Schizosaccharomyces pombe: one gene and its partners. The gene in region 4 interacts genetically with the main gene of each other region. Each region holds a gene or a part of one and is shown on either strand. Other genes may lie near its edges.

Evidence for each region.
Region 1: mutations in bdc1 (region 4) and utp16 together harm fitness more than expected from each alone (negative genetic interaction), as found in Schizosaccharomyces pombe (2 studies listed by BioGRID).
Region 2: mutations in bdc1 (region 4) and nur1 together harm fitness more than expected from each alone (negative genetic interaction), as found in Schizosaccharomyces pombe (2 studies listed by BioGRID).
Region 3: mutations in bdc1 (region 4) and tea2 together harm fitness more than expected from each alone (negative genetic interaction), as found in Schizosaccharomyces pombe (2 studies listed by BioGRID).

The regions. Positions count from the first base shown.
Region 1 is NC_003423.3:3,647,617-3,655,232, reverse strand, and holds utp16 (U3 snoRNP-associated protein Utp16), read left to right. Parts: upstream 1-3,412; coding exon 3,413-3,450; intron 3,451-3,495; exon of another isoform or gene 3,496-3,516; coding exon 3,517-4,059; exon of another isoform or gene 4,060-4,203; coding exon 4,204-4,606; 3' UTR 4,607-4,872; downstream 4,873-7,616. Other genes in the region: CENP-H-like protein Fta3, read left to right, coding at 97-759; ubiquitin protease cofactor Nxt3, read right to left, coding at 1,438-2,553, 2,670-2,744, 2,813-2,926; karyopherin exportin-T Los1, read left to right, coding at 5,152-7,616. UniProt on the Schizosaccharomyces pombe protein: Functions as part of the small subunit (SSU) processome, first precursor of the small eukaryotic ribosomal subunit that coordinates the first two steps of ribosome biogenesis in transcription of the primary transcript pre-RNA and pre-18S processing.
Region 2 is NC_003421.2:448,348-455,865, reverse strand, and holds nur1 (protein nur1), read left to right. Parts: upstream 1-4,102; 5' UTR 4,103-4,450; coding exon 4,451-5,401; 3' UTR 5,402-5,657; downstream 5,658-7,518. Other genes in the region: GTPase-activating protein Gyp3, read right to left, coding at 1-563; DNA repair protein Rhp42, read right to left, coding at 1,437-3,497; SPOM_SPCC4G3.12C (ubiquitin-protein ligase E3), read right to left, coding at 6,137-7,518. UniProt on the Schizosaccharomyces pombe protein: Has a role in meiosis.
Region 3 is NC_003423.3:3,889,728-3,898,016, forward strand, and holds tea2 (kinesin family plus-end directed microtubule motor Tea2), read left to right. Parts: upstream 1-3,329; 5' UTR 3,330-3,473; coding exon 3,474-5,360; 3' UTR 5,361-5,529; downstream 5,530-8,289. Other genes in the region: uba1 (ubiquitin-activating enzyme E1), read left to right, coding at 1-2,173; Pet117 cytochrome c oxidase assemby protein, read left to right, coding at 2,528-2,623, 2,677-2,847; trs8501 (TRAPP complex subunit Trs85), read left to right, coding at 5,683-7,659. UniProt on the Schizosaccharomyces pombe protein: Promotes microtubule growth, possibly through interactions with the microtubule end, and is important for establishing and maintaining polarized growth along the long axis of the cell.
Region 4 is NC_003423.3:2,422,728-2,430,035, reverse strand, and holds bdc1 (bromodomain-containing protein 1), read left to right. Parts: upstream 1-4,511; 5' UTR 4,512-4,562; coding exon 4,563-5,462; 3' UTR 5,463-5,621; downstream 5,622-7,308. Other genes in the region: rkr1 (ubiquitin-protein ligase E3), read right to left, coding at 1-3,251, 3,441-3,469; cysteine desulfurase Nfs1, read right to left, coding at 5,771-7,276.

The DNA of each region.
Region 1 (7,616 bases), 1.2 Mb from region 4:
AGTACTAAAGCTTTTTATCTCCGTATTCCTCGATTTTTAGGAAAATACTGATTAGTTCAATATTTGAAAATGCTTGTTACTTAACGAACTGACCGTATGGATAATAACGACCAAATATCAAACCTTTGTCTAGGGGCTTTACAACTGCTTGCCGATCAACCTATTTCGGTTATCTCGAATGAACCATCTGAAGAACAGCGGAATGAGCACGTCCTGAAAAAATGGGAAAATAACGTTTTAAGACATTGGAAAATTCTTTTTTCTCTTTTTATGCAAACTTGTGGTGATAGTGTACAAGGAAATGCTGCCTTCTCAATCCTCAATTTCATGACTACTAATAGTTTAGTGGGACAACTATATCAGCGACTATATGATGAGTCTAATTCATTGGGCTTTATAAGTAGCCCTTTGAACGAGACAGAACATTTGTCGGAAGAAAATTTAAAAATCGAAAGCAGTATTACCTTCACTAGTGAAGAAATTGAGAAGGAAAAAGAAAATATTAAATCTGTATTACTTCCTTCAGTGCAATCTATTTCTTCTTCTTTAGAATTGTATGCGTCTAAAGAATCTGATTATAGAAGCTCAATTGAAGGTGTATTAGCTGACTTGAAGTTAGCGCGTGCCCGTTGGGAAATCGTTAGAAACGTGACACAAATACTTTTGCTCGAATCCGGCATTAGTTTCCTAGAGAACAAAAAACTTGCATATATCATGGATCTATGTGGTGATCGTGAAGACAATTATAGTTCCTATTAAAAGTCTTTATTTTGTTTGTGAACGAAAAATTTGGTATGTTTTTATGAATGTTATAAGCCCAGTGATGCTTTTTTGAATTTCTTCAACGGAGCCGTTTGTCTTATTGACATGCGATGTGGGACGATATTTGACATACTGAGGGCCAATCATTCATTTTTCTGACTTCATAATTTTTCTTACTAACCTTTAGAGTAAATGAATTCTTTATTATGAATATTTTTAATAAAAGCTCCTTTTTTACTCTTTGTAAAAATTTTAGAAACTAGAATACATAAAATTTTATTTAAAGGTACTCTAACAACAATAACGGATGTAAAGGAGAAAATTGGCGAAACCGTAAAAATAATAGATTTCTCTACAAAATGAAGTAGGGTTGGGCGTTATCGGTAAACTGAATCAAGCGGACAAACCACCGTTGTTTTTTTAAAAAAGGAAGGCTTATAATAGTCGGAGGTTTTTGGAATGAGACAATATAGAGGCGCTGATGTCAATTGTGAACATCATCAAAGGTATACTAATATATAGTAAATAGATTGTGAACAATCAAAAATTTTGCGAGCTCAGTAATTCTTTCTCCACAGTCGCAAGAAAACTGGCATCTGCTAATGTATAAAAAGTCAAGAGTCAATAGTATATACAAATCAGTTATAATTTAAAAACCGTATGGACAACAGACACTTAATTATTTTGCTTTTTAGAAGTAGTCACTTCTTTTGAACGACCGTCAAAAGCACCACGGTTACCTTTGCGAAAATTCCTTTTCATTCCATTATAATTATCGTTGGACTTCTTATCTCCCGATTTGTTGAATTTACCGGAAAAAAGACGGCGTCGTTCTTCTATGTTCAGCGTGGCATTGTTAATTTGCAAAGTTTTTTTGTTCAAAGCCAATTGCACGCATTCATGGTTGACAAAATCAACATATGCGGTGCCTTTGCGACGAGCAAACTCAATAGCCTTGACTGGTCCAAAAATGCTCATAGCAGATTTCAATGACACATCAGATGTTTCGGGAGGAATGTTCTTGACGAATACAGATGTCTCCAACAGTTCATTACTCTGAGTGTACGGCGCTGTTGGCTGCTGAGTTTGGTCAGCATTAACACCTTTAACTGTTTGACCAGTTGTAGACGCAGTAGAACTAACTGATGCTTGGGATTTCACATCAGGATGATTACGAGCTATGAGATCAGCCCAAGATTTAGGTGCTGTAGCAACATTTGCATCGCTAGCCCCTATAGCATCAGCATTCTTCGAGTTTGAAGTCAGAGCTTCATCTTGAAGCTGATTTTCCTGCTGAGAAACAAAACTTGGGACTGAGGCTTCCGTAACTTGGATAACGGGTTCTTCAGGAACAGCCAAAGTAGCTTGATTTAGACTGTCGGTCTCATTTGATATAAGAGCGGCTGTGGCAAAATTATTTTCTGTAGCAGCTGGATCCTGGTAATGGCCTTCTTCTTTTGCAGAAGGTAAATGTTCTTGAGATTGCACGCCATTTACGTAAGGTTCAGAAGCAACATCTTTTTTCTCTTTTTCAACAGCATCAGGTGACTCCTCTTCTTCCTCAACATCTTCACGCAAAAAACGGAAAATATCGTTTAAAACAAAATAACCATTTGGTTGTTCTGCAAGGAAAAATGTTTGAGCAAATTTTCTGGATAATTTCCCCTTATTAGACATTTCACCCAGGACCTGGATGACAATGCCACCATTCGAAGAAGCCAAACTGTCAACGTTTGAAATAAGTACTTTGCAATTTTGAAAGTCCAAGTCCAATATCTTGTTATGAATTTCCTAACACGTTAATAAAATGACTATTGGGCAAGACAACGATCATAGAGTTTCGAAAATCGCAAGCAGAATATCACAACCTCAAAAACTTTACATATAAGAATTGTGTTAAAGCATACCTGTTGTCCATGACAAAGACTAATACTCTCGCCTTCGTCTCCGTGAATTAAAGTTGACTTTTTAGTATAGAAACACTGTATTACAGTTAGTACGGTTCACAAGTTGAAGAAAAAAAAACTTTTGGTAAATTATGACGACCTACATGAAGACGATTGGGTTCTTTATTTAAATATGTATAATATTCTTGAACGAACATCCATCCTATCTCATCCTTTCCCAAAACTGGTTCTAATAATGTGGCATTTTCCGCAGTCATGTTTTATTTAACTGTGACAATAGCTATACAAAGAACAGAAAATCTGGCTCTAAAAGACCCAAAACAAAATTCGGTCGTGTCTTATGTTTTCCGTGCGTTGGTCTTTTTAATGTCCCATCTCCTTGCTTTCAATGTCCGTGATTACAGCATTTCGTAATTGGATTTAACGAGACTAAACGATATTTCTGTTGATCTTTTACATTCAACTTGTTCGCATAAGTAAGTTAGTTGATGGAAAGAGAGACCTTTTGGTCAGAAAATTGTTTGGTTTTTCATTTCAACAAATAACATAAACATCATATGATTTACCATAGATCAAAGTTGCATATATTTCTTTCTATTATTGTTTTGCAAATTGATTATATTAGAAACGTTAATTCATTGGAAACCACTAAACATTTTGAATAGTAATACGACTATATACTGTGCTAGAGAGATTAACCTGCTAATGATTTTGCCAAAAGTCAATTAGTTTAACAGCTTTAAATGCAATCGTCTAGAAAAATTATGATACTAAAAAGAAAGTATGCGAGCCTTTAAATCATTTAATTAACGAAAATTGAAATTACTTTCTTCTTCTTATTTACCAGCATTAAAGGGTTAAAATCTAGTGCTATAATTGCAACGTATCTTACTTTAAATAAATTATTTATTGATAAATTTTGTAAGACTCAGGAAAGTACCTATCCTATCCATTTTGTTCACTGCCATTTTGGTGGCATTAAGAAGTTTCACTCGCATTGCCAGTTATCCTCCTCCTACACCAATTCAGGTCAAAAAAGTTTCAAATCCTTTAATAGTCTTCGTTTTATAGTATTAAAATCCAAAACTTGTCTGTTAAGGTATAAACTTCTGATAAAGACATTTTGTTGCATTACTTATTCGAAAATTGAAAATTTGTCAAATACTAGAATGGCAAGATTGACTGCCCCAAGCAAAGGTCCTTCATTTTCAAATTTAAACAAACCAAATGATTTGTTGAAAGCGGAAATTGAAGATAATGAAGCCTCACACTACTCTCAAAATCAATCATCTGACAGTGATTCTGATGAAGCACCTGAAGAAGTTTCGCTGAAGAGCAGCAGCGATGAGGTAAAAAAGAGACTTCAACGTCTGAAAGGGAATGAATTACAGTAAGTTTTAATAAACGGAATGAGGGAAACACTTAAAAATACTATTTGTTTTGGTTTGAGACAGAATAATAATTTGTTTGATAAAAGTTCGACTGCTCATTTCGTTTCCTTGCTTTTGATAGTATTATTTTTAACACATTTTAGGCTTCGAAAAGCTGAAAGAGAAAAACGTAGACTGCAAAATGAAAGAAATCGTGAAAGAAATGCCCAACGGGTAAGCGCATCAAAGTTGGATTTGGCTATTCTTGAGGCAGCTGAAGTTGAAGAAATTAATAGTACCACGGAAATCGAAGAAAAGGTTGACGAAGCAAGCCTTGACCTATATACTCCAAAAGGACATAAAATTGTTTTTCCTAATAACGAAATTCCTAAAAAACGTACTCGTTCATTTCGTAAAGGTGATTTTAAAGTGAGCGTTCTTAAAGAAACAAATGACCCTTTACTAGCGCCGAACTATGAAAAGAAACTGTCACAGCGTAAACGGGATTGGATAAATCGACAATCAGTTCCCCGGGCGTCTAAAAGACGACGTCCCTTGACTTATTAATTTTCCTTTCTCTATTTGGCAACACATTCGCTGTAAATTGAAAGTCAGGCACAAGCATTGCATTTTCTGTTAATATAAGGGTTTACTTTTTTGTTTATTAATAATATTGGTTGGGAAAAGGTTGTCTGGGTTCTAAAACATTCATTATTTGAAGCTTTGGACATGCTAAGTGCAGTTTACGGCTGTTTTTTTGGTAAATGTTTAACATAGTATTTTTAAAAATAAACACTTTAGACAAACATGAGTTAATTAAAGTTGTATCAAGGATTTATTGCCATGCACTAGAGGAAATTCGCTCATGTAACGTTTCGTACATCATAGATATTATAGATATCAGTAGCTATAGCTCATAAGGCCAAAATTTGCATAAATATATTATTAATTGTCTAGTGTATGAACATTTACTACTTATAATTATAAAATATTTGCATATAAATTTCTGAGATGGTTTGTACTTTCGACTACTTGCACTAGGCAAACTTCGCTTTTTAGCACCACAAAAATTTTGTCACTTCAAAGCATTGTTGACCTTCACCTCTGCAGCCATGTCGGCCCAGGATGTCGAAAACGCAGTAGAAGCAGCATTAGATCCTTCTGTAGGACCAATAATAAAGCAACAAGCTACAGATTTTATTGGTAGCCTTAGAAGCTCATCTACAGGTTGGAAAATATGCCATGAAATTTTTAGTGAAAAAACGAAATATAAACCATCAACAAGACTGATTTGCCTTCAAACTCTTAGTGAGAAAGTTAGAGAATGGAACAATGAAAGCAATTTGTTAGAGTTACAGATGATAAGAGACAGTGTTTGGTCTTATATTAAGGAATTAAGCTTTTTGGATGAACCAGCTTATATTAGTAATGCTGTACAACATTTATTGACATTATTGTTTCTTCAACTATATCCAAGCAACTGGAATGATTTTTTTGCTTCACTCCAAGGCGTTATTGCGGCGTCGTCTCAATCTGAGTTTTCAAATTTTTATTTGAAGGTTTTACTTTCCATCGGCGATGAGATTGCTGATTCATTGGTTTTAAAGACAGATGTTCAAATTCAAAAAGATAATTTAGTAAAAGATGCAATTAGGGCAAATGATATGTCTGATATCGTTTCATTCGTCTATGAAATGATGTTGGCCTATAGTAATGCTAAAAACTATGGCACGGTTGGATTGTGCCTTCAAGTATATGCACAGTGGGTATCTTGGATCAATATAAATTTGATAGTTAATGAACCGTGTATGAACTTGTTATACTCTTTCCTTCAAATTGAAGAATTACGTTGCGCTGCATGCGAGACAATGACCGAAATTGTGAATAAGAAAATGAAGCCACTTGAGAAACTTAATCTGCTCAATATTCTTAACCTGAATTTGTTCTTTTCAAAGTCGCAGGAACAATCCACTGATCCTAACTTCGACGAACATGTCGCCAAGTTAATAAATGCACAGGGTGTTGAACTTGTCGCTATAAAATCCGATCCTTCAGAACTTAGTCCAGAGTTGAAAGAAAATTGCTCATTTCAGCTCTACAATCTTTTTCCATACCTTATCAGATATCTTTCTGATGATTATGATGAAACCTCGACAGCAGTTTTCCCCTTTTTGTCCGACTTACTTGTCTCACTTAGGAAAGAATCTTCTTCCAAAGAACTTAGTGCTTCTTTAAAAGAATTTCTTAAATCTCTGCTAGAAGCTATTATAAAGAAAATGAAATATGATGAATCACAGGAGTGGGATGACGATCCTGATAGCGAGGAAGAGGCCGAATTCCAAGAAATGCGTAAAAAATTAAAGATTTTTCAAGATACCATTAACTCTATTGATTCTAGTCTATTTTCTTCGTACATGTATTCTGCTATAACTTCTAGTTTATCTACTGCTGCTACATTATCTCCTGAAAATTCATGGCAGCTTATTGAGTTTGCGCTATATGAAACCTATATTTTTGGTGAAGGATTGCGGGGTCCCGATGCATTTTTTAATGAAGTTGATAAATCTCCGACTGTTCTTTCTCAAATACTAGCATTAGTTACCACTTCACAAGTTTGCCGACATCCTCATCCGTTAGTTCAGCTTCTGTACATGGAAATATTAGTACGATACGCTAGTTTCTTCGATTACGAATCTGCGGCTATTCCCGCTTTAATAGAATACTTTGTTGGGCCCAGAGGAATACATAACACAAATGAACGTGTTCGTCCAAGAGCATGGTATCTGTTTTATCGATTTGTTAAAAGCATTAAGAAACAAGTTGTAAATTATACTGAATCATCTCTCGCCATGCTTGGTGATCTATTAAATATAAGTGTTTCTCCCGTTACTGATATGGATGCGCCAGTACCGACATTAAATTCCTCCATAAGAAATAGTGATTTTAACTCTCAGCTCTATTTATTTGAGACTGTTGGTGTCTTAATTTCTTCAGGTAACTTAACTCCAGAAGAACAAGCTCTTTACTGTGATTCACTTATAAATGCACTTATCGGAAAAGCAAATGCTGCTCTTTCCAGTGATTTGTCGGCTTTAGAGAACATTATTTCCGTTTATTGTTCGCTGATGGCTATCGGTAATTTTGCTAAAGGATTTCCTGCCCGTGGTTCTGAGGAAGTCGCTTGGCTTGCTAGTTTCAATAAGGCATCAGATGAGATATTTTTGATTTTAGACAGAATGGGATTTAATGAAGATATCCGTGGAGCTGTACGCTTTACTTCTGGGAGAATTATTAATGTTGTAGGACCTGATATGTTACCAAAGGTTCCACAATTAATTTCCATACTCTTAAACTCTATCGATATGAATGAACTGGTTGATGTTCTTTCATTCATTAGCCAACTTATACATATATACAAAGATAACATGATGGAGATTACAAATCGTATGCTTCCAACATTACTAATGCGTATTTTTTCTTCTCTATCGGCCGCTCCACAAGGAACAGATGATGCTGTCAAGCAAAACGATTTACGAAAATCATATATTTCATTTATACTACAACTATTAAACAAGGG
Region 2 (7,518 bases), on a different chromosome or scaffold from region 4:
TTTTCACTCTGGGTTTCGTTGGTAATAGTGGCAGCGGTGACGGCGGAAAATTTGGAGGAGGACGTTTCAGTACTAAGGCATGATTCACGCTTCGAAAGTTCAGTAGAAGTAGATAAGAAATCAGTTGGAGGTATCTCTAAAGAAAGTCTGAACTTGCTTTCGTATTCATTGTTAGAATCAACGACTGGATTCTGCAGATAAGCACATGATGTAAATGCAGGATGATTACTAGGCGTAATTGAAGCATAGTCAGAGTTATTTTCGTGCTCAAGTATGTTATGATGACTGTAAATGGGATACACTAAAGCATCTAGTGCATGTTCACTCTCGCTAGATAAACTGGAGGATGGAGACATTATGTAGTTATTAACATCGTCTGCATCATCGGCATCGTCTTCAGTAGTATCATTGTAAAGATCTAAAACATCATCTAATTCATAATCTGAAGGTGTTTTATCCTGTTCACTACTTCCAAAGTGGATTGATGCATCTGACAGGTGAGCATTCTCCTCTTTAAAATTTGCATCATTCATAATCGTCGAATGTTCAGTGATGCCAGCCATTTTGAAATTCTCTTCTTATGTCGAGAATTCCCTGACTATCACACATGCGACGCTGGTGCTTCGGGCTTCTGGCTTTCTTTCAAAAAATCTCTTAGTTCTTCAACAATGCTTTCTTCATAAAAATTCCTTTCCAGTACCATTACTACCCAGCTGGGAGATTTTTGAGTAATTGAATGAATAATTGCCTTTCAATAACCAGATTTCTTATGCTCCACTTTCTATATGACTAAAATGCGTGGTTGGTAAACGCCAAGAATATATGCATAGTACGCGCTTTTGCAACAAAGCGTGGTGGTGTTAAATGGGCCTACCATGATACCATAATATCGAGGTTACCGAGGTACTTAGCAACACTCATGATAAGATTCCTTCTAAACTATATTTACTACATCTTTTTCGTAAAAAATGCTAAAAAGTATTAATATTATATGAATATATCTAATTTTTTAATAAAATTTACGACTTAGCTATTTTTAAGCAACTTGGATATTACCGTGTAATGAAAATTTTTATTTTTATTTTTATTTTATTTTATTAAGTCGTTGTTCCTTCAAACAAAAAATTTGTAGTACGATTGGCAAGGTAATGCAATTGGGTGATCTATAAAGCGAAAAATAGAGTGTGATCCACCAATATGAAAAATAGTGCTATAAAAATCTGGGGTTTTTTAAATCAATAAAATATTAGATAATTTGGTAGTTTGCTTCCTCTTTTTCCTTTAAATAAATAAAATACTTCACAAATAACCAAATGTCAATTTTGCAAAACAATAAATAAATAAATGAGTCTAACGTTTGGAATTAAGTATCCTCATTGTTCAAAAAACACACATCCGGTTATACAAACCCTAAAGTGTCCGACGAAAGCCAGGAATTAAGCATATTGTTCTTCAATACGCTTTCGAATACGAAGTGCATTTAGCAAGTGTTTCCACTGCCCATAAATAATTTTTCTCTCTTTCATCTGCTGCTTCTCTATTCTGATTTTTTCACACTCAAGAAATTCTTCGTAAACCATTTGAGCCGACTCTTCAGGTACAATTATACCTGTAGTAACTGGAATCGCACGATGTTTACGAAATTCAAACCCTGTAACTGCATCCGCATAATCAATGTTGAGTTTCTTGGCAATTTTAGCAATTCCTCGATATGGCAAATGTGCTGCGCCCTTGGGGATCATGCTCTCAACAAAACAATCCATATTACCATAACCGTTCTTAGGAATAATACCATCTTTGATTGGAGGCGGAACATATAGCTCAGTTTGATCGGAAGAATATAGACCCTGAAGCACTGGTTCATTTGTTTCAGCAACCCGAAATTCGTGTTCACGCTTCCTGCTAATTGTGACGGCTCTCGCCTTCACCATTTTTCGAGGTTGTTCTCCTTCCTTAATTACTCGTCCTTCTTTGTGATAATTTTCAGGCGTTTTGCATATGACCACATCTTTTCGGAGATACACTTCCTCAGAGGTAGCTTTCTTACCGTTACCAAAGGTTGCTGTCTTCACAGGCTTGGCGTTAGGAAGCAATGCTTCTTCTCTTCTAAGATGTCTAATCAATACAAATTCAGGATGATTCTTAAAATCTGCAAAGCTTTTAGGTTCGCGAATGGGCACTTTACTTTCCAGTTCTTTCTCTTCATATATATCCTCTGCATCTTTATTGCGCTTTGCTAGTTGCCCAAAAATAGCCTTATAAAAATCAAAATACTTATCTGCAAAAGAAACGTGTCGAATTTTCTTAAGCCTACTTGATTGGTAATCTGTATACCTCAAAGTTACATCTTTTGCGTATAAATCGTTATCATATGCAGCAACAATACCCATTCGTAGATGTTTTGACTCTGCATACGCTCCTTTGGGTTCAAACCAAGTCATATCGTTGGTATATACCCCATTCAAGACAACCGCATCTACCGCAATCCATTTCTTCTCACTTTGATCATAGATTTCCGTCCAAAAAATAGGATAGCGGAGGTCGTCATCTATAGATGTACTAGTTTCTTCAGGGAGGATATGTGGAGACCAATCATCATAGGAAGCAGTAGAAAATGTCAAAGGTTGAAGAGAAAATATAAGTCTTGCTTTCAGATTCAGAGATCGACAGAGAGCAGTAAATCCCTGTGCCGCCAAATCCCGGCTTCCTTTTAGCGAAAGTAAGGATGCTTGGTATTCATGAAAGTTATGAAATATTTCTGGCGAAAAGCCGATATCAAATCCTTGTTTCAAAGTACGATACCCCAACTTCCGAAGCCCATGACTCTCAATTTTAAAAGATTTATTCCACCACATCCGAAGCCCATTTAACAATTTTAACAAATCCTCGTGCGTCTGGCTACTACAAACCCACGCCTCCACTACGGACGGTTGCTTTTCGACAAGCAAATCGCGCAGCCCATCAAGAAGTAAGGAATTCATTAACCAGCGATTCCTTACTGACCCATGGTACAACAAGCAAGTAAAGTGCATAATGTGAATAGATAATCGAATGCTTTTATCCATTGCACTAGAAGAGCCTTTCTTCGATTCTTTTGTAAGTTGAGGAGTGATATGCTGTGTGACTATGTGTAAATCTTTTTTATCTTCTTGTTTATTAGGAGAAAGATCAACTTGTTCCCAAGTGTCAAAATCGTCGTCAAACTCGTCATCTTCTGAGCTGCCTAACTTCTCATTGTCTTCATCGGAACCTTTTTCGGATGAAGATGCGCTCCTTTGAAGTGAGTTTAACGCTGATATATTGTCATCTAAACTCTCAGAAGGAGGTTCCGCTGAGGAAGACAAACTTGGCTTTTTCGACTGGCTACGAGTTTGACGGTGAGTTGAAGATACAACAGTTTCCTCTTTCACTTCAGGATTAAGAGGTAAGTTATTGGTCCGTGTCCTACGTTTCCTTCCGCGAACAGAGTTCTTGGATGCTTTGCGTTTGGGTGGCATTGAGCAAAGAGTTTATGTGAATTGAATCAACTTTAGGATAATGCTTGTTTAACCGCTGGTTCAAATAATATCAATAACGATAAATTGAATAAAAAGTTGTAATCACAGCCACATCTGATATATTCTTAGTTAAAGAATTATTATTTCAAGCAATCTCTCCAACAAGAAAGCAAAATTCTAACAATGGCTGTGATGATGATTATTAAAAAGTCCTTTGAAAAAGAGGTCAGTATCAACTGCGCAAGAATGGCGAGTAGTTTGTTTGCTGAATATTATGAGCTATATTAACTACTTTTGATTTCAACCGTGAAATAAAGATTTAAAAAATTTAAATCTGAAACATAACATGAAAATAAATTATTAAATAAAAAGTTAAACCACATGCATCACTATTAATAAGAGACAATAAACATAAGTCAAAAAAAACTTCAGCCGTTAAATTTTAAGGAAATAATTCATTAATTAGTAAAACGTCAAACGAAACTGTTTAAATTTATGTCACTGATCGAGCTTATATTTCCTAAAAATAGGAATTTTAAATCGACGACTGATTTTGCACAGCAGTAGTAGTGGTAAAGTTGAAACCATCAATAACACCAATACTTAGGAACATCAACCTGCGAAAGCAAATTCTTTTTTTTTTCTTTTTTATTGCACACTTGTTTACGTACCGGATTTAAAAAGTTATCTTAATAAAAAACTTTTTATCCTTCATTGTTGCAATTGAAGTCGATAATAGCAAGCTCGACCTAGCTAATTAAAAAGCCTTTGCTACTCTAATTAATACGTAAGGTTTGAATCCTGAAACGGAGAAGTGCCCTAATTTCGTTCATTAGTATACGAATATCGGAATTTACCTTTCAGGTCCATGGTTTGTTTCATTTCTAATTCGGCGTTGTTTTATACTCAAAAAGTACACCTGAATTTCAAAACATTGCTTAAAAATCTTTTCAATGGGAAAGTTAATCCGTCGTACATCGCTGACTTCTAAAATAATCAATCTTCCGATCGATTACTTTATCTATGTTTGCGAACAATTTGACAGTGTAGAGTGGGATAAAGTATCAGATCGTTATTCGATTCCCTTTAGCTTGGCTGTCAATTTTATTTTTCTCTTAATGCGCATTTATATAAAAAGTACGCATGTACCAGTTCAACGCAACCAGCTCTTTGTGGATAAGCAGTCCATCAACACCTCTAGGTCCTGGTTTCGTGCCTTCCTATCATTTCTCTCAATTTGTTTTCTTTTCATCAGCTTTCTCAATTTCATATTTAGCACTCGATTTCAAAATAAGCTGTATAGAACTTTGCCTCAAGACAAACGCACGACGACTTCTACTCCCAATGTAAAACCAGTTTTCCAGCACTCAAATAATGATGATGGCGATGAACAAGTTTTTGAATTGAAAGTATGGAGCCCAAATCAATTTTTACTAAATTTTGCTTGCTTATTTTCTCCTGCTCATGCCTTGATTTTATGGTTTTATAGCACTTCTCTACGCGTGACTTTGTTGACTTTTCTCCTTTCGTTTACAACATTGCATTTTGTCAATAAATTTTCCTTACTGCTGAAAGATCAACAATATCTTCATCGCCAGGTATTCTTTGAGTATGATAAGAAATTTGTAGAACCTCGACTTTCGGTAGTTAAACGAGATGTTGCCATTAATACTACTCGTGGTCCCACAACCGCATCTATTGAATATTTCACACCCCGAAAACCCATAGATACCTTCCTTGAACACCGAAGTTCTTCACATGATCATCTCACTTCAACACCCCGTACCCCTATAGCGCTTCAAAGAAGAAGTGTTCATCATCTTCATGACAGCGGAATTAGTCGTGACAGCAGCTCACCATTTAAGAGATTTCCACATCTTAGTGATGGTAGTTCTCGCTTTTAATATTTGTCTGAATTACATGGTTTTTGAATGACCCACTGCATTTCCATTTATCATTGTTGTTTCTGTTAATTCCTATTTTCGAAAAGTTTTAAGTCATAACTCAATTCAGACCTGAAATAATTGTATTCATGAAGACTAATTAGGGTATCAAACACCGTCATTCTAAAAACTTTCGATGATCGACTTAGAACCAAATCCTTATAATTTAAGCTTATTCAATATGATCTCTTATTAAAATCCTTACATGATTATAAATATGAATACTCTTGTTTGTTAGAAAATATATTTAAAAGTGATAATGTGCATCAATTTTGTATCTAAACTAATATGTAAAAATCGAAGCAAAATTTCTAAAAGGAAAATAAATTATATTAAACGTGCAAACCGATTAACTAAAATGATTTTTAGAAAAAACTCAGCTTTGTAAAAAAGGCAATTGTTATTTCTAACAAAAGACGCACAACAAAACAATTCGTTTCCGTGCAGCAAGTAGAAAATTACAAAAATTTTATCAATAAGGTCATAAATGAGAAAAATGAGAAAGTCCCAAAGAGATAGTTGAACAAGGTCAAGCAGTTTTAGGTTATAGCAGCCATAAAAATGGGAAGAGCTATTATGTAGATTTCATTCACAAGCAAATAGTGCGAACAATTATTCAACAAATTTGACGGATGAAGGAAAATAAATGAGAGTGAACAAACATAGAATAAGGCCAGCTTTAATTTCAAGTCAAAATTAATTTTCCTCTTCAGCTTGTGTCGTAACCCCATGAGCCCGACATAACGGGCAGGAATTATTACCAGTGGTAAGCCACTGATCGATGCAGGCCTGATGGAAAAAATGTTTACAAGCCTGCAACTTGCGACATATGTCACCGTTAGTATAAGTTTCTAAACATATTAGACAAGAATCAGCACTAGAAAGTGAAGCATCATCGAAATATGCAAAAAGTCCGCCCGATCGTTTCACATCTTCATGAGAAGCGACTGGTTTCTTCGCTGGACCCAGGTATGTAGTAAGAGCCAACAAGTCTTCATACATGGGATTATCGCTAAACAAGCTAACTGTAGACAAAACTGGATGATGTTCTGGAAACAGACCACCAAACACATAGATAAGCCAATCACCATGGGTGCTATTAGAGAAAGTTCCCTCTGAATGCGTTTGAGTAACCATGTCGGCAGCCCCATTGGAAGCCAACGTACTAAAGTCGCTAGTATTATCATCAACAGAAAGTTGTTCCTCAAATCTATAGCTCCGTGCTAAGCTAGAACGTCTAGTTTGATTAGACAGTAAATCTCGATCAGACGGAAAATGATGGAGTCCTGTAGATAACCTTCCAGGCTGTGTGGAAAATGAGGAGGTATTATCGGTAGTCGGCTGATGAGTTTGTGACATCGAGAAATTGCCGGAGGCGTTCCTCGAAAAAACATTTGATTCAGAAGGCACTGTTGAAAACGGTCGTTGTGAATTGGAATTTGAACTATCCAATAATGAAGAAATGTAATCATCTCCAATGTGATTTTCTCCAGTTGAACCATTTACAGGTTCTTGAGCTCTTCTTAGTATACTTGAATTCCTTAAATCCACGGAAACAGTAGGTTGATTGTAGCGCGAAAACGAAGAAGTAGATTGATTACCCGAGTTGGACGTTGGAAACAAATTTCTGGAACCAGGAAAAAGATTTGCAGGGAAATCGGATACCGGCGTAAAAGCCTGGCTAAAGTCACTTCTTGTAGGTTCAGGATGTGAAAAAGTTGAATTGCTTCTCTCGAATGTAGGAGGAAGATCAGTGGAAAATTCAGTGGACTGAGCCATTCTTTCGGTTATATCGTTAATGGATATGTTTTCTCTACTCTCGTTATGAAGGCTTTGATTTTCTTGAGTCATAGTTGGCGCATGATCCTCGGAAGTCTCGGAAATGCTACGCATACAAACGATAAGGACAGGCACCAAAGCCGGTCCATTTGTATCTGAAGCTTCGTTATTAGAGGCAGGTTGATTGTGAGACTGATGAAACGACGGAAAACGGAACATCCTTAAGTATTGAAGGTCTGAGGAATTAGACTCAGGGTCAGAAGAAATTTGATCATTTCCATTTTGAGAAGAGTTTTGAA
Region 3 (8,289 bases), 1.5 Mb from region 4:
ACAATACCACATTGCTTTCCAGGCCCTTTCAGCATTTGCCGATGCGCATGAAGGTTCATTGCCTCGACCCCGTAACGACATTGATGCAGCTGAATTTTTCGAATTTTGTAAGAAAATTGCAAGCACACTTCAATTTGATGTTGAACTCGATGAAAAACTAATTAAGGAAATTTCATACCAGGCAAGAGGTGATTTGGTTGCAATGTCCGCGTTTTTGGGCGGTGCTGTAGCACAGGAAGTGTTGAAAGCTACCACCAGTAAATTTTACCCATTGAAGCAATACTTCTATTTTGACTCCTTAGAAAGCTTGCCATCTTCTGTAACGATCAGTGAAGAAACTTGTAAACCTCGTGGCTGTCGATACGATGGGCAAATCGCTGTTTTCGGTTCGGAATTTCAAGAGAAAATAGCTTCTTTGAGTACGTTTTTGGTTGGTGCTGGCGCTATTGGATGTGAAATGCTGAAAAACTGGGCTATGATGGGTGTCGCTACTGGTGAAAGTGGTCATATTTCTGTTACTGATATGGACTCCATTGAAAAATCGAATTTGAATCGTCAATTTCTCTTTCGTCCTCGTGACGTCGGAAAGCTGAAGTCCGAATGTGCTTCTACCGCTGTTTCAATCATGAATCCTTCATTGACTGGTAAAATAACTTCATATCAAGAACGTGTTGGACCAGAAAGCGAAGGCATATTTGGCGATGAATTCTTTGAAAAGTTATCTTTAGTCACGAATGCTTTGGATAACGTCGAAGCTCGAATGTATGTTGACCGCCGTTGTGTATTTTTCGAAAAGCCATTATTAGAGTCTGGTACTTTGGGTACTAAGGGTAATACGCAAGTTGTTGTACCTCATCTTACAGAGTCGTACGGATCATCCCAAGACCCTCCTGAAAAGTCATTTCCTATCTGTACTTTGAAGAACTTTCCTAACCGTATTGAGCACACCATTGCATGGGCTCGCGATCTCTTTGAAGGCTTGTTTAAACAGCCTATCGATAACGTTAATATGTACCTTAGTTCTCCTAACTTTTTGGAAACTTCATTGAAAACGAGTAGTAACCCCCGTGAAGTTTTAGAAAATATTAGAGATTATCTTGTTACGGAGAAGCCTCTTTCATTTGAGGAATGTATTATGTGGGCCCGTTTGCAGTTTGATAAGTTCTTTAACAACAACATTCAGCAATTACTTTTCAATTTCCCTAAGGATTCTGTAACCTCCACTGGCCAACCGTTTTGGTCTGGTCCTAAGCGTGCCCCTACTCCATTATCTTTTGATATTCACAACCGTGAGCATTTTGACTTCATAGTTGCAGCAGCCAGTCTTTATGCATTCAACTACGGCCTTAAGAGTGAGACAGACCCAGCTATTTACGAACGCGTTCTTGCTGGCTACAATCCTCCTCCCTTTGCTCCCAAGTCTGGTATTAAAATTCAAGTCAATGAAAATGAAGAAGCTCCCGAAACCGCTGCTAATAAAGATAAACAAGAACTGAAATCGATTGCTGACAGTCTACCACCTCCATCCTCTCTTGTGGGTTTTAGACTAACTCCGGCAGAATTTGAAAAGGACGATGACTCTAATCATCACATTGACTTTATAACGGCTGCATCAAATTTGCGTGCCATGAATTACGACATCACACCTGCGGATAGGTTTAAGACGAAGTTTGTTGCCGGTAAAATTGTACCAGCCATGTGTACATCAACTGCTGTCGTTTCAGGACTTGTATGTCTTGAGCTTGTTAAACTTGTTGATGGCAAAAAGAAGATCGAGGAATATAAAAATGGATTTTTCAACCTTGCTATAGGGCTCTTTACATTTTCTGATCCTATTGCTTCTCCGAAAATGAAAGTCAATGGTAAAGAAATCGACAAAATCTGGGATCGCTACAATCTCCCGGACTGCACACTTCAAGAGCTTATTGATTATTTCCAAAAAGAAGAGGGGTTGGAAGTGACCATGCTTTCATCTGGAGTTTCTCTTTTGTATGCTAATTTCCAACCACCTAAGAAACTTGCTGAAAGGTTGCCTCTCAAAATTTCTGAATTGGTTGAGCAAATTACTAAGAAAAAACTAGAACCTTTCCGGAAACACTTGGTGCTTGAAATTTGCTGTGATGATGCCAACGGTGAAGACGTTGAAGTTCCATTTATTTGTATCAAGTTGTAATACCTTTGAGAACCGGTTAATTCCTGGAATTTGCAACATTTAATGCCAATGGCTCTAATAAATTTACTAAATTAGTATTAGCAGTCTTTAAAAAACATTAATAGGCATGTATGAATAATTTATTATTTTTCCTATACTCTTTCTAATTTTTATGAACTAAGATCTGTTATATTTTAAAAAGTATTTTGACATGTAGTAAAATTGTTGTTTTTTTGAGCAATTTTTTTAACGTCGGCGATTGGCATTTACGTAAGTTTCGACTGCTAACCTCCTAATTTACCTAAGAGTATATCTTTACTCGGCTACAAAAGTCTATCGTATACATTATATTAAATTTAACTAGAATTATTGCCAATGTCTACTGCCTCAAAACTTTGTATCGTCGGGGCCGGTGTCTTTAGTGTTTACATGGTTTATTTCGTACATAATAATCAGATTATTGAACGAGAGGTAATATTTACTTATATTAAAGAAAATATGCACCATAGCTAATGTAAGTATAGAAAATGTCGGCGGGAGTTCAAAAAGATGATGAAAGGAAAAGAATTAAAAAAGAAAGGTTTGAAGACCTAAAGCGACAACAAGAGTTACGAAAATTTTACGAAAGCCAGCTACCTGTTGAAGAGGACGAAAAGGGTCTCCGACAGACAACGCAAACAACAGTGAACGACTAAAACCAAGTTTTTAACACAGATTGGACGAATCGAAATTATAGACAGCTTGAAACCTATAGCCTCGGACTTCCAGTGTTCAGCCAATTTATCCAGAGCAACTTATTTACCTTTACTATACATTAATATTTTTTTCATCTTTGCCAGATTTTAAGGATTTAATATTGAGAAATTCAGCTCGGTTAAATAAAAAAGAAGTAACTACATCTAGAAAACGGCATAACAGGGTGTGTTAATCTTAGAGGGTTATAGGCAAAAGAGCTAGTTTTTTGTTAACATTACTCAAAAAGGAAATATAAATCAATTTACATTATGCTATATATTAATGAAATTTACTTTATCCGGTTATTAGTAATATAAACTTGTCATAGTTTACTGGTTATTCGTTATAATGGTTACTACCATCGTAACGAGGTAAGTATGCCGAAGTGTCTTGAGATTCCTTAATGTGCGAATGAAGTGAATGGTGAAGGTAGTTTATGTCTGACAAATTCTAATACATTTCACTAGCTTGTTGAAAGATTTCAAAACTGAGTAAATTTGACCACCACTTAATGGAAATTTTTCTATTCTTTTTATTTTATATAAGCACGTTCATTTTCTAACCTGTTATTTTTCTACTTCATGAAATGAGTTCATCTTCCTCAAAACCCGTGAATACTGGGTTGGTTACACCTCGCCGCTATTCTACAATGACTGGCATACGGACTGGTCCATCTCAGAGTGGAACAGGGAGTATTCCATATTCCCCAACGTCACCATTGTCCCGAAATTTTTCGAACTATTCCATACCTATGCTACGAAGCAATAGCACTCAAACAAATGTAAATGGGCCTACAGCATTTGATTTGGGAGTTACAGAGAAATTGATGTCTCCTGGAACTTTAGATAGATACACGCGTCCTGCCTTGTATCCGTCGAAGGACTTGGATTATTTAAAAAATGAGTATGTTAATTATGAATCTACAACAAGTCAACAAACCAATTCTAAAGGTTTAAAAGAGAGCAACTTTGTTGGTTCAGGAATTATCACAAGTATACGTATTCGACCTATTGGTAAAAACCAAGGTGTATGGTCACATGGCAAGTTAAGCAATGACCCATATGGTCGTGAATACATTCGCCAGCAAACAAGTACAAGCTCGTCCACAATTCAGCAAGAATATCTTTTTAATAATGTTTTTGGGATGGAATCTAAAAATTACGATATATACAAACGTTCTGTTAAGTCGGTTGTCCGTAATGTTTTTTCCGGATATAATGGAATAGTGTTTGCTTATGGAATGACCGGCACAGGAAAAACATATTCTATGCAAGGTACGGAAAACGAACCTGGTATTATTCCACTTGCCATGAATGATTTATTTGAAATGGTTGAAAACAATTCTGATGACGATACCTTTCAAATCCGTATATCCTATTTAGAAATTTATAATGAGAGAATACGAGACTTAATCGGAAACTCGGACGAAGAGCCAAGAATACGCGAAAATGCATCTGGAGAAGTCAATGTTACACCATTAACTCGAGTTCTCGTCACTAGCCCCGAAGAGGTTAGTCAGGTTATTGAACAGTGCAATGCAATCCGAAAAACAGCAGCAACCGATTTCAATACGTATAGTTCTCGTTCGCATGCAATTCTTCAGGTTTTTCTTATTCGAAATAATCCTACTGCTCACACTTCACAAATTTCGAGTCTCAGCTTGGTGGATCTCGCTGGAAGTGAAAGAGCTTCAGCTCACCATGAAAGACGCAAAGAAGGAGCATTTATCAACAAATCTCTTTTAACATTAGGAACTGTTATTTCTAGGTTGTCAGCAGCTGCAAATCCTTCACTTACCTCAAATTCAGGACATATACCGTATCGTGAGTCTAAGTTAACTCGTCTGTTGCAGCAATCTTTATCCGGCCAATCACAAATATCACTTTTAGCAACGATAAGCATAGAATCCAACCATACGATGGAGACTACTAACACGCTTAAATTTGCATCTAGAGCTCAAAATTTGCCTCAAGATATTCGCCAAGCGGAAGCTGTGACTAATGTTCAAGCTGAATTAGCATCTTTACACTCTGCCCTTGAAAAGAATGCCCAAGAAGTTGAATATTATGCTTCTTTGGTGAAGCAATTGACTTCGGACTTAGAGGAACGAGATACATACATTGCCATGTTAGAGGCAGAGCGTTCGCAAGGAACTGCTATAAGTAGAGCTCGTTTACGAATGGAGGAATTGCTTTCTGACCATAATTTCGAAATTGCAGATCTAAGAGATGAATTACAAGATAAAGAACAAATTATTTATGCTCTTCGATATGCTCAGAAGCAACGGGATATTGCCGATTTCAATCAATCGCTTGCTAAATTCCCTCACAAAATCTTAAAGAAAAATGTTACTAGGGGAAGCAGAAGCTCCTCTGATCAGTTCAGTAATGAAACTAAAACTGAAATTTTGCCAGACGATCAACAGCAATCGAAAAAGGATTCTGTGACTCAGGAAACGCAACTTCTTTCTTGATACCTTGTTTAATTATAGGCGTCTTCTCATCAACCTTGTTTACAATTTTATACCCATTCAACCTGTATGTCTCCTTAAATTACTTTAACGATACGATGTTTCTTTACTAAACAGGCCGGTTCGCAGTTGCATCTCTTTCTTTTGCATAATATTTTGGAATTTTCGGGGATTTTTTCCAATAATTTGTAATGACACATTGTAATAAATCCTTAATTTGCATAGGTTGGCTTCTCTATGCAAAATTTTATTAAATTTGCGACGACCTGCTACAATCATATACTACGTTTGGAATTTTTATCCTCTATACCGTTAACACATCCTTATGGACATTGCAACAAATTTTATAACCAGGAGCCTTTCTGAAATTGCTCCTAATGCATCTCAAAGTTCTCTTCATGTAACACCGTCATCGGTGAGCAACAATGCGTTTGGGCTAAAGCTTCGACAGCTGATCAGTGACACATATTGTCCGCACATATTTATTATGGCATCTGATGACACAGAAAATTTCATGAAGCGTAAAGGATTTGACGATTTTGCATCTTTTATTCGACCGTTCGGAGATCGCATTTTTCAGAGCTCGACAAACAATTCTGCCATTTCAAAGGAAACTTTGGATTCTAGGATTTTTGATAATGATCATGACTCAATTCGCTTTGTTCCTATGGAAGCAGTACAAGTTCCTCGGCAGTGGAAGCGAAATAAAGCCTGGAATACCGAAAACGGATTAGAAAATTGCGCAAATTCTAGATTTGCTCCTGGCGGTGACATTGATAGTTTCAGAGTCTTGAGTCAGAAGCTCATAGAAGAGTGGGTTCAATCGGGCAGCAATAATTACCCCGAAAATGGATTTTTAAATCCCATTCTGGATTATCTCAAACTTCTACTTTCTGGTAACCCGGTAGCTGAACATGAAACTTTTTCTCATCCTGTGGGTTGTCTAATTGTTATAACGTCTCATAATACCAATCCTATGGCAACTGTTATGCGTTTATTCAAAGAAATTAACAATGCGCCCTTTCCTAATTTTATTTCTAAAGAAATTTTACATTACTATTTGTTTATACATGATGAAGATAACAACGATCTTTCAAATTCGAAGCAAATTTTTCAGCAAATGCGGAGAAGTCTTGGCGCAAACTCTCATTTTATTAGATTAAGGTCGAATTACATATCAGCGAAACCTTTAGATACTGACAGATATGATACGTCTTCTATACAGTCATTAAAAAATGCACCTAGAGATTCGATGGAAAGCGAAAGCTTTTGTTCATCTAGTGATGATGCCAAACCGATAACATTTGTGACTAAAAATTTAAGAAAATTTCCAATTCCAGAATGGAGATCATCATTAGAAGTTCAGGCCGAATCCGAACAATCGTGTTTGCCTCTTTATCCTTTACTGCCTGTAGAAGAAGTGGAAGGGATGAAAAAGTTTGTTCAAACAATGTTGTATGATAGTATATATCCTTTTATGCAAAGATGCGTACGGGCCTGGGAAGAAGATCTGACCCCTCAATACGGTAATTTAACTACCAGGCTTCTATTTGCCTCCAAAAAATACTGGTCTCGTAATCATTCAAGCCATTCTCAAGGTAACTATGATCCACTATCCCTTATTTATTCTTCAGAAAAGCAGGAAAGCATAAAAAGAAAAATGGCGGATTTTTCTTTTATGCTTCGTGATTACAAACGTGCTTATGAAATTTATGATGAGATTCGGAATACATTTTCTCAAGACAAAGCCTGGAATTATTTAGCGTCTTGCGAGGAAATCCAAATAATATGTCTGTTAATGCAAAATCGGAATATCAGCTTGAAGTCGCAAATTTCGTATTTGAACAAATGGTTCGACGAAATGGTTTATATCTATGCTGTTCGTCTTCACTCTTTTTACTATACATTTAGAAGTGTGCTAGTTACAAGCTTGTTGCTCTCGTTGAAGCCTGCGTTTAGTATCGACTTTGCAGCATCCTGGCTTGCAAAGATATTGGAACCAGGCCCTATTTCCCTCAATCCGTTTGAAACTTCTTTCTTAAATACGACAATAGCTGGAATGTATAGTAATAAGGAACATGTTGGTGTTACTGATGGAAATCGCCGCAGAAAAGCTGCTTTTTGGTTTGCATATAGCGCTGGCTTTTGGCGGGACTGTGGCCATTGTAAAATGGCAGAGATTTGCTGGAATCTTGCTAATCGTGTGTATTCAAAATCAGGATGGGAATCGCTTTCTGAACATATGCTGGACTTAAAACCAACGCTTTCCGAAAACTTTCGGGTGAAAAATACTTTTCATTAGACAACTCATCCTGTCATCTGGGCAATCTTTGGTACAAGATCTGCTTATGTAGGTGCTAAACTTTCGATTTTGGTTATGAGCTTATTAATTCAAGCGCGATTAATGCGAAGTTGAAAAATTATATTACCGCTTACAGTATCATATTTATATTCAATTAGCTAGTTAATGACTTTAGAAATTAAAACTTCATTTTTTTTTTGTTCACGTTTTTTGAAATGTTGCTTTAGAATTTAGACTGATGTCAATAATTATTTTAAAATAAAAAGTATATATAAAAAATAACTGTGAAATTCAAAGAGTAGAGGTGTAAGCTATAATTTTGAAAGATTTGAAAAAGGAATAGGAGCTGGCATAAAGGAGCTTAGGATTTCCAATTTAAAATGTAGCATTAGCATTATAATTTATTATATCAAAATTATAATTTAGTATCATACTCAATATAACATATATTAGATATATGCGATTTTACATTAGTCAACTTCATACGAAATTGCTGATGTTATTATAACTTGTCTATCTTATCAGTTTTAGAATAAATTGTTCATTGTCTGAATTTTTGAAAACAAATCATCAGCACCTTATTAGAACTCCAAATTTAGCAATTTGTAACATTACAAAAGTACAAGTGAC
Region 4 (7,308 bases):
ATCTTGTGATAGGAAGAAGGGGCTTCTCAGTAATCTGTTGAGTGGTAGCCGCATTCAAAATCAACAGAGACTTAGAAACTTCATTAGCAGAGTGAAGTTTACCTGTTAGATCGTTTACTGCTTTAAAACGAATTCGTTGAATAATTTCAGAATCTACTTCTAATGGCTTCAATCCTTCTAAAATAGAAGATACGAAAATAGGGGATTTTGAAGAGCTCAAGCCCAGCTTTCCTAAAACAACATCAACGTGTTTCTCATCCATTTCTAACAAATTTGAGACAACAATCAAAAAATCTGTTAACCCTTGAGCGGCAAATATAGAAAAAGAAGTAGTATTCTCTGCAGATGACAAATTTTTAAATCTTTTAAACAATACAGGCATTTTCCCATCTATATCATCAATTAAAAGCTCATTTAATACTGTCAAAGCATCCTTATCGCGCATAAATTTAACCACTTCACCTTTGAAGTAGCATTCAAAAGATTCCACAAATATTCCAGCATCTCGGATGGGAACATCAATTATGCTTTGTATGCCATTTTGTAAATAAATTCGTATTAACAAATAAGCAAACGTAAGGTTAAATAAAGCATCACCGTCGCATCCGGTAGTTTCAACATAATATAAAGTGTATAAGGAGGCATGGAATATATGCACAAATTGAGTACCTACGTCTGTCATATCAACATTTATGGGCTCTGAGGCAACTAAATCTAGAAATCCGAGAATAAAATCTTGGTCAATGAACAACTTGTTAGAGAAAAAAGGAATGCAAGAGGATATTTTTGCATCCCAAAAAGAGGCAGGAAACGTAAAGAAGTTTGAAGGGAGTTTTCCAAACGAATTGAAAACAAGAACACACTTATCAGCAGCTAACTTTTCATTTATAGAACCATTCAAAACCTTATTCAATGACCATTCCTGCACTTCTGAACATAGTTTAAGAGAAAAACCGGAATCTTCTAATGCTTTCTCTTTCAATAGGGAGAAGATACTTTCAAAATGAGCTGCAACATGGCCATCATCTTCTGGTTTACTGAAAAGGATCACAGGAAGCAAAGAATACAAGGATTTATTTTCATCAAATATTGTTGGAAGATGAGCTTTCAGAGAATGCAATGATGCGCACAAAATAATCAAATGATTATCAACCCAATCATTCGTAAGAAAATACTCCAAGGTCGTAAACAAAATATTTTTAATCGTTTCTTCTGGAACAAGGATTTCCTTAGACCCAATGCACGCTCTTATCATATCCCAATCGTTTCCTGGGTTTTGCATAATAGCAAATACTGCTGTATCATAGTATTCTACTAATGTTTTTACCAAGGAAATTTTCCCCCTTAGTTTTCCATCAGCAAACAAAGAGGGAAGACTATTTAAAACCCTAATATTTTCCAGTTCATCAAAGGACACTGTGAATTGATTAGCAACATTTTCCCAAGGCTCAGAGAGATCCGCGTAATCTTTAAGAAGTAAAAGAATATCACGAAGCAAAGTAAAGGCTGGAGATTGAGGCCCAAGCTTTAAAATCGAAGAAGGCAAATCATTCACCAAATATTTTTGAAAAAGTTCCTTAACGGGTTTAATCAATGTAGTATCACTGAATATGTGACAAACAGTTATTAACTGGGATGCCGATAAACATGCAATACGTTCATTTTTGTGGGTAGACAATTTCATTAAAAATGACAAACAAGGTCCCAGAATCGACATGACTTCATTTCCAGTTTGAAAATTTCTATTTTTAAGATATAAAACTGTTTGAACGGTTAAGCTTAAGTTACGTGATAAAGAATCAAATGGGATAGTTTCAATGTCCATAGATTCATCATTAAAGAAACCAAATAACACTTCGTTCCAGAGCGAGGCGAAATCTGAATTTTTATCGAATACACTTTGCAAGCAATGATCGAAATCAGACGTTGAACAGCGTAGAACAAATTCACCTTTAAAATACCTGGTAAATATAGTCCTTAAACGGTCACGGACATGATCCTTAATTTGAGGATCGGAAGAATCGGTATAAACAAATGACAAGAAATTGAGTAAACAGTCATAAACTTCAGTAGATAGGAAACGTTGTTCTTGATTTGCAGTTTCTAAGAATGCATCACACAATTCGTCTACACTTTCAATGGAAGGAACGAGCTGCATAGCGCCTATACTTTTAAACAAATTCAGCAAGGATGTGTAAAACCCAGAATTAGGAAGGCTGATTCGCTTGGTGATCAAATTTGAGAACAACTTTGAAAGAGGACGTTTTGAATCATTTGCAAATTGGTGAACCTCGTTGGGGAAATTAGAAATCATGTTACTAAGAAGCCTAAGCATAGGGACGCAGGTCAAACTAGTTAGTCGTGAAATCATTCGTGAAACACGTTTAAAATATTTCTCTTTATATTGGGTAACAAAAGGTTTATCATACTTCAAGATAATGAGCAATAAATCGCTCAGGCTCACTGTGACACCATCCTGAGGTGAGGAAACCAAAGACCAAAATTCGTCAGACTTGAAAAGTGTAGACAAGTTCTCGTAAAGAGATGACTTAAAGGTTTGCTTATCTATCTTCTTATCTGTCTCTAGATTTTCTAAATCGGCAGTCTGTTTGAAAAGAAAAGAAAGGGTCAGAAGACAGCTAGATTTAACTCTGGTAACTTTCGATTCAGCTTCTTCATTTGAAAAAAAACGCAAATCCGTTAACGATTCTTTGTCTTCATGTAAAAAAACATCAGTGACTATAGGTGCGATAGTAGATCCAAACTTCAGCCAAACATGGGGCCACTTTTCTTCGGAGAGTAAATTTTTAAAAGAGTCTTTTGCTGATACAGAGACTGCACGATCTGAATCAAAAAAACCCATAACCCAAGGTGTGATATAGAATTTGAGCCATGGTGCAAGTTTTTTTTGAAGCGCAGAAGATAGAACAGACATGAAGACAAAGATTTTTAACCGCACATGTCGTTCCACTTCTATAGATAGTCGAGGAAATAAAACTGCCAAAGCATTTAGAAACTGTTCATTGTCAAACTGTGATGGGTCATTCCACTGAATTAAATCTTGTAAAGCTCGACATTTCGTTACGATGTCACGCTTTTGCAAATTCTTCACAATAACAATCATTTCTGCGTCTAAACCAGACAAGTCTGGAGGCTCATATATCGTACTAAAATTTGAGCTGGACTCATCCAACGCAATTTGCAAGGATGAAAACGATCCTGACATCGATTGCATCCCGGGATTTTTACGGCTATAAAGAGATTAGCATTTCGGCACATACATAAAGAAAAAAGAATCGTTGTATTTTTAAACAAACTTCCCCAAAATATGGAAAAGTATGGATTTGTAATAACATAGGTGTTCTGCATATATCCAATGAGAAAGACCCTATTTTGTGTGCAAACCCATTTTGTTACCATCTTCTCACATCTTTACTTACCCGTATAAATCCGTAGATTTTTTTTTCATCTTTTTTTTTAGTTTACAATGCAATGGAATGCAGCGGATCAATTTGGCACAAAGAATGAAAAATTACAAAGGAAATCAGATATCAGTCTGTCCGACGTTATCATAGGTTATTGATAACGTTGTTTTAAGCAATTCATTGTGGTATGCAATGCTTTATAAACTGATACTTTAAAGCTTAACTATTTGTGATGACGGAAAAGGAATTAAGTAGCTTGCTAAACTGTATATCATGTCAGCAATACTACACTACGCTATGATACACTACGTTGCGTATCACTATATGTCACATGTTCTAATTATATATCGTACCATGTATGATACGATATGGAGATTGATCTTAATGATAATCTATTAAGATCAATATTATCTGAATACTATAAATAGAGCTACTGCTGAACCTCGTTCCTCAGTTCAGTTATGAGCTATATTAGTGATAGGTAACATTATAACCCAGTTAATACAATACCTATACTCAGTTGCTACTTATACAACCTGTGTATTGTAATATAATAGATCACAAGGAAAACTCACCGCAGTTCTACGTATCCTTAAATCAGATACCAAACTGCGTAGCTTACATATCAGATTCTTTAATTGCAATCGCAAAACTTATTTAAAGTAACTTATCAAACGGTGTCATCTACAAAATACCTTATCTAATTTAAGGATGCAGTAAAAATACGATGATTTTTATTGCGATCTGTTCAATATTGCGTTAGTTACAGAAAACGTTGGAAACTTGGTTAGTATGATGTGACTATCCAGCAAAATTTAAAGATTTTACGCAAAAGGTTTATAGAACATAATTCACTGGTATCATAGGAATCAATTACAATTTGACAAACTGCAATTCTATAGAAGTCTTCAAACTAAGACATTGAATTATTAAGATATGCAACATGTGTAAGGTTGGCAACTAACGTAAATTATTTAGCATTGTTGCGTTAATGAAGTTTTACAGCAATCTCTAACGAGAATTTAGGTTTTACGCGCACGCCGTATGAAGGAGGTAGTACACTACGAAAAGAAGGACTCCCTTTCTACCGTGTCTTGTCTTGTAAAATTAGTGGAGATGATGCAAGTATAGTGCATAATGAATATTGCTCAAGAGGTTGCTGTTTTACAATATCTTGATATTCAGCAAGAAAATCCTAATGCTCCCAACGAAGAACTCTTCAATCGAACGGCAGAAAGCAGCCTGCTTTTAGAGCCAATTGAACAAGATCAATTAAAGGATCTGGTCGAGGAATGGATGCATGATAGCAATAAATCTGATTCAAAGCTTCTCTCCAACCAAGTTTCTCAAAACGATAATGATGCTCGAAAAAATCTACGAAAAAGGCTGCGGAACGATGTCCTAAAGGATTTGGCTGAAGAGATACAGGGATGTGAAAAAAAACTGGAAAGCTTATATGAAGAGGTTGCAAAGGCAAAGGCAAAAGCTGTGGAGGATCAACTCGCACTTGAAGAAGCTGACAAGGAAGCAAAAAAAGCGAAAACTGAAGCTCCTGTAGAGGCTGCTAATAAATCTCTTCGTTCTAGAAAGAAAACACCAGAGATTGCAGCTCCTGCAAATATCGAACCCGAAGTTGCACCCACAACTAAGACTCCAAAAAAGCGCGCTGCCCTGTCTAATGAAGAAAAGCAGTCTTTGAAAAAGTTCCAAAGTGCAATGCTTCCTATGCTCGACAATATTTCTAATCACAGGTTTGGAGCACCTTTTAGTCATCCTGTAAATCGTAAAGAGGCACCAGATTACGATTCTTTAGTTTATAAACCTCAAGACTTACGAACATTGAAGAATATGATCAAAGAGGGTAACATCACGGAAGTGGATGAATTGTATCGAGAAGTTCTTCGAATCTTTGCTAATTGTAAAATGTACAATGGCAGCGATCCAGCCAACGCCATGTCCATATGGGGAGATGAATGTTTTCGCTACACAGAAGAGCTTTTCGATATTTATCGTCAGGCAAGTACCCGTTCTCAATGAGTGTTTTACATTTTAATTATATTCCTTAACATTTTTTGTTTATGCTTTGGATTCATATCATTTTTTGGCTATAATTTTGACGACTTGGGGGTACATATTTTTTAAATGGTACTATATTTTATTTTTATCAAATTTATGTTTTTTTTTATATCATAACCGTGTATTTATTTCGTATAGATTCAAATCAAGTATGAGATAATTTACAATTTAGTTTTTTGTAACTATATAACAGCTGGTAAAAAGTTTCAACTTCCATACGTTCATATAAAAAAAAAATAAAATCTTCAATAGGTAAAATTAAGCGTTCTTCAATGTTGACTCCATTCTATAGTACTAAGATCGACACCCTCCTGAACCAAATCCCATAACGGGCTCATATTCCTTAAGAAAGAAACTTGTCTACTCACATTTTCAATAGCATAATCAATTTCGGCTTCAGTTGTAAATCGGCCAATACCAAAACGAATAGAACTGTGAGCATTTTCATCACTCTGACCAATTGCACGCAAAACGTAAGACGGTTCTAGAGATGCGGATGTGCAGGCAGAACCAGAAGACAGCGCGATATTTTTCAAACCCATAAGCAACGATTCCCCTTCTACATAATTGAAAGAAATGTTGACACAACCTGGATATCTAGATTTAGGGTCGCCATTCAAAGATGTATATGGGATTGCAAGAAGGCCATCTATTAATCTTTGGGATAGTTTGGAAATATGTGCATAATCATACTTCATTTCTTCTTTGCATATACGGGCCGCAGTACCAAATCCCACTACTTGAGATGGAGCAAGAGTACCACTTCGTAAACCTCGTTCCTGACCTCCACCACTAATAAGCGGCTCTAAACGTACACGAGGACGTCTTCTAACATAAGCGGCTCCAATTCCTTTAGGGCCGTAAATTTTGTGAGCAGAAATAGACATTAAATCAATGTTCATTCGATTGACGTCAATGTCAATTTTTCCATATCCTTGAGCAGCATCTGAGTGAAAGAAAACCTTCTTCTGTCGACAAATTTTGCCAATCTCTTCTAGTGGTTGACAAACACCAATTTCATTATTGACGGCCATTACACTTACACAAACAGTATCAGGACGTATGGCGTCACGTAATTCATCCAAATTAATAAGGCCATTAGTTTGAACAGGTAGAAAAGTAACTTCAAACCCTTCTTCTTGGAGAGCACGTAAGGAATCCAAAACGCATTTGTGCTCAGTTTGAACGGAAACAAGATGCTTTTTCCTACTTTTGTAAAATCGGGCAACACCTTTCAAAATAGCATTATTTGATTCAGTTGCGCCAGATGTAAAAATAATTTCTCTTGGATCAGCATTGATTACAGATGCTATCTCTTGGCGTGCATTTTCAACAGCTTTTTCTGCTTCCCAGCCATAGGCGTGTGTTCGACTATGTGGGTTTCCATAAATTCCAGTGAAGAAGGGAAGCATACTATCTAGTACACGATAGTCGAGAGGAGAGGTAGCTTGAAAATCCATATATATAGGATGCAATCCCGTAACCGTACTAGCAGCGGTTTGTGCTTGATCCAAAGTTACTGTTTTCAAAGAATTTTCCGGTATGGGCTCTTGAACCGCCGTCATGTTTCCTAGCCCGTACATTTGTTCACGAGGTTTATTGCTCATTGAAGGTTTGTCCATACGACTGGAAGTCATAAACGACCTACCGTAAACTCCAAGACTCTGTCTAACATTATTAATATCCTGACTCTCTCGCTTGACAAAAAATAAAGCACTTCGTAGTTCAAGAAGGCATCTTGCTCTAGAAAGCATCAAACTTCCCATTTTGGACATGGTTGTTTCCAAAATAGAGGAAATTTTGCTAA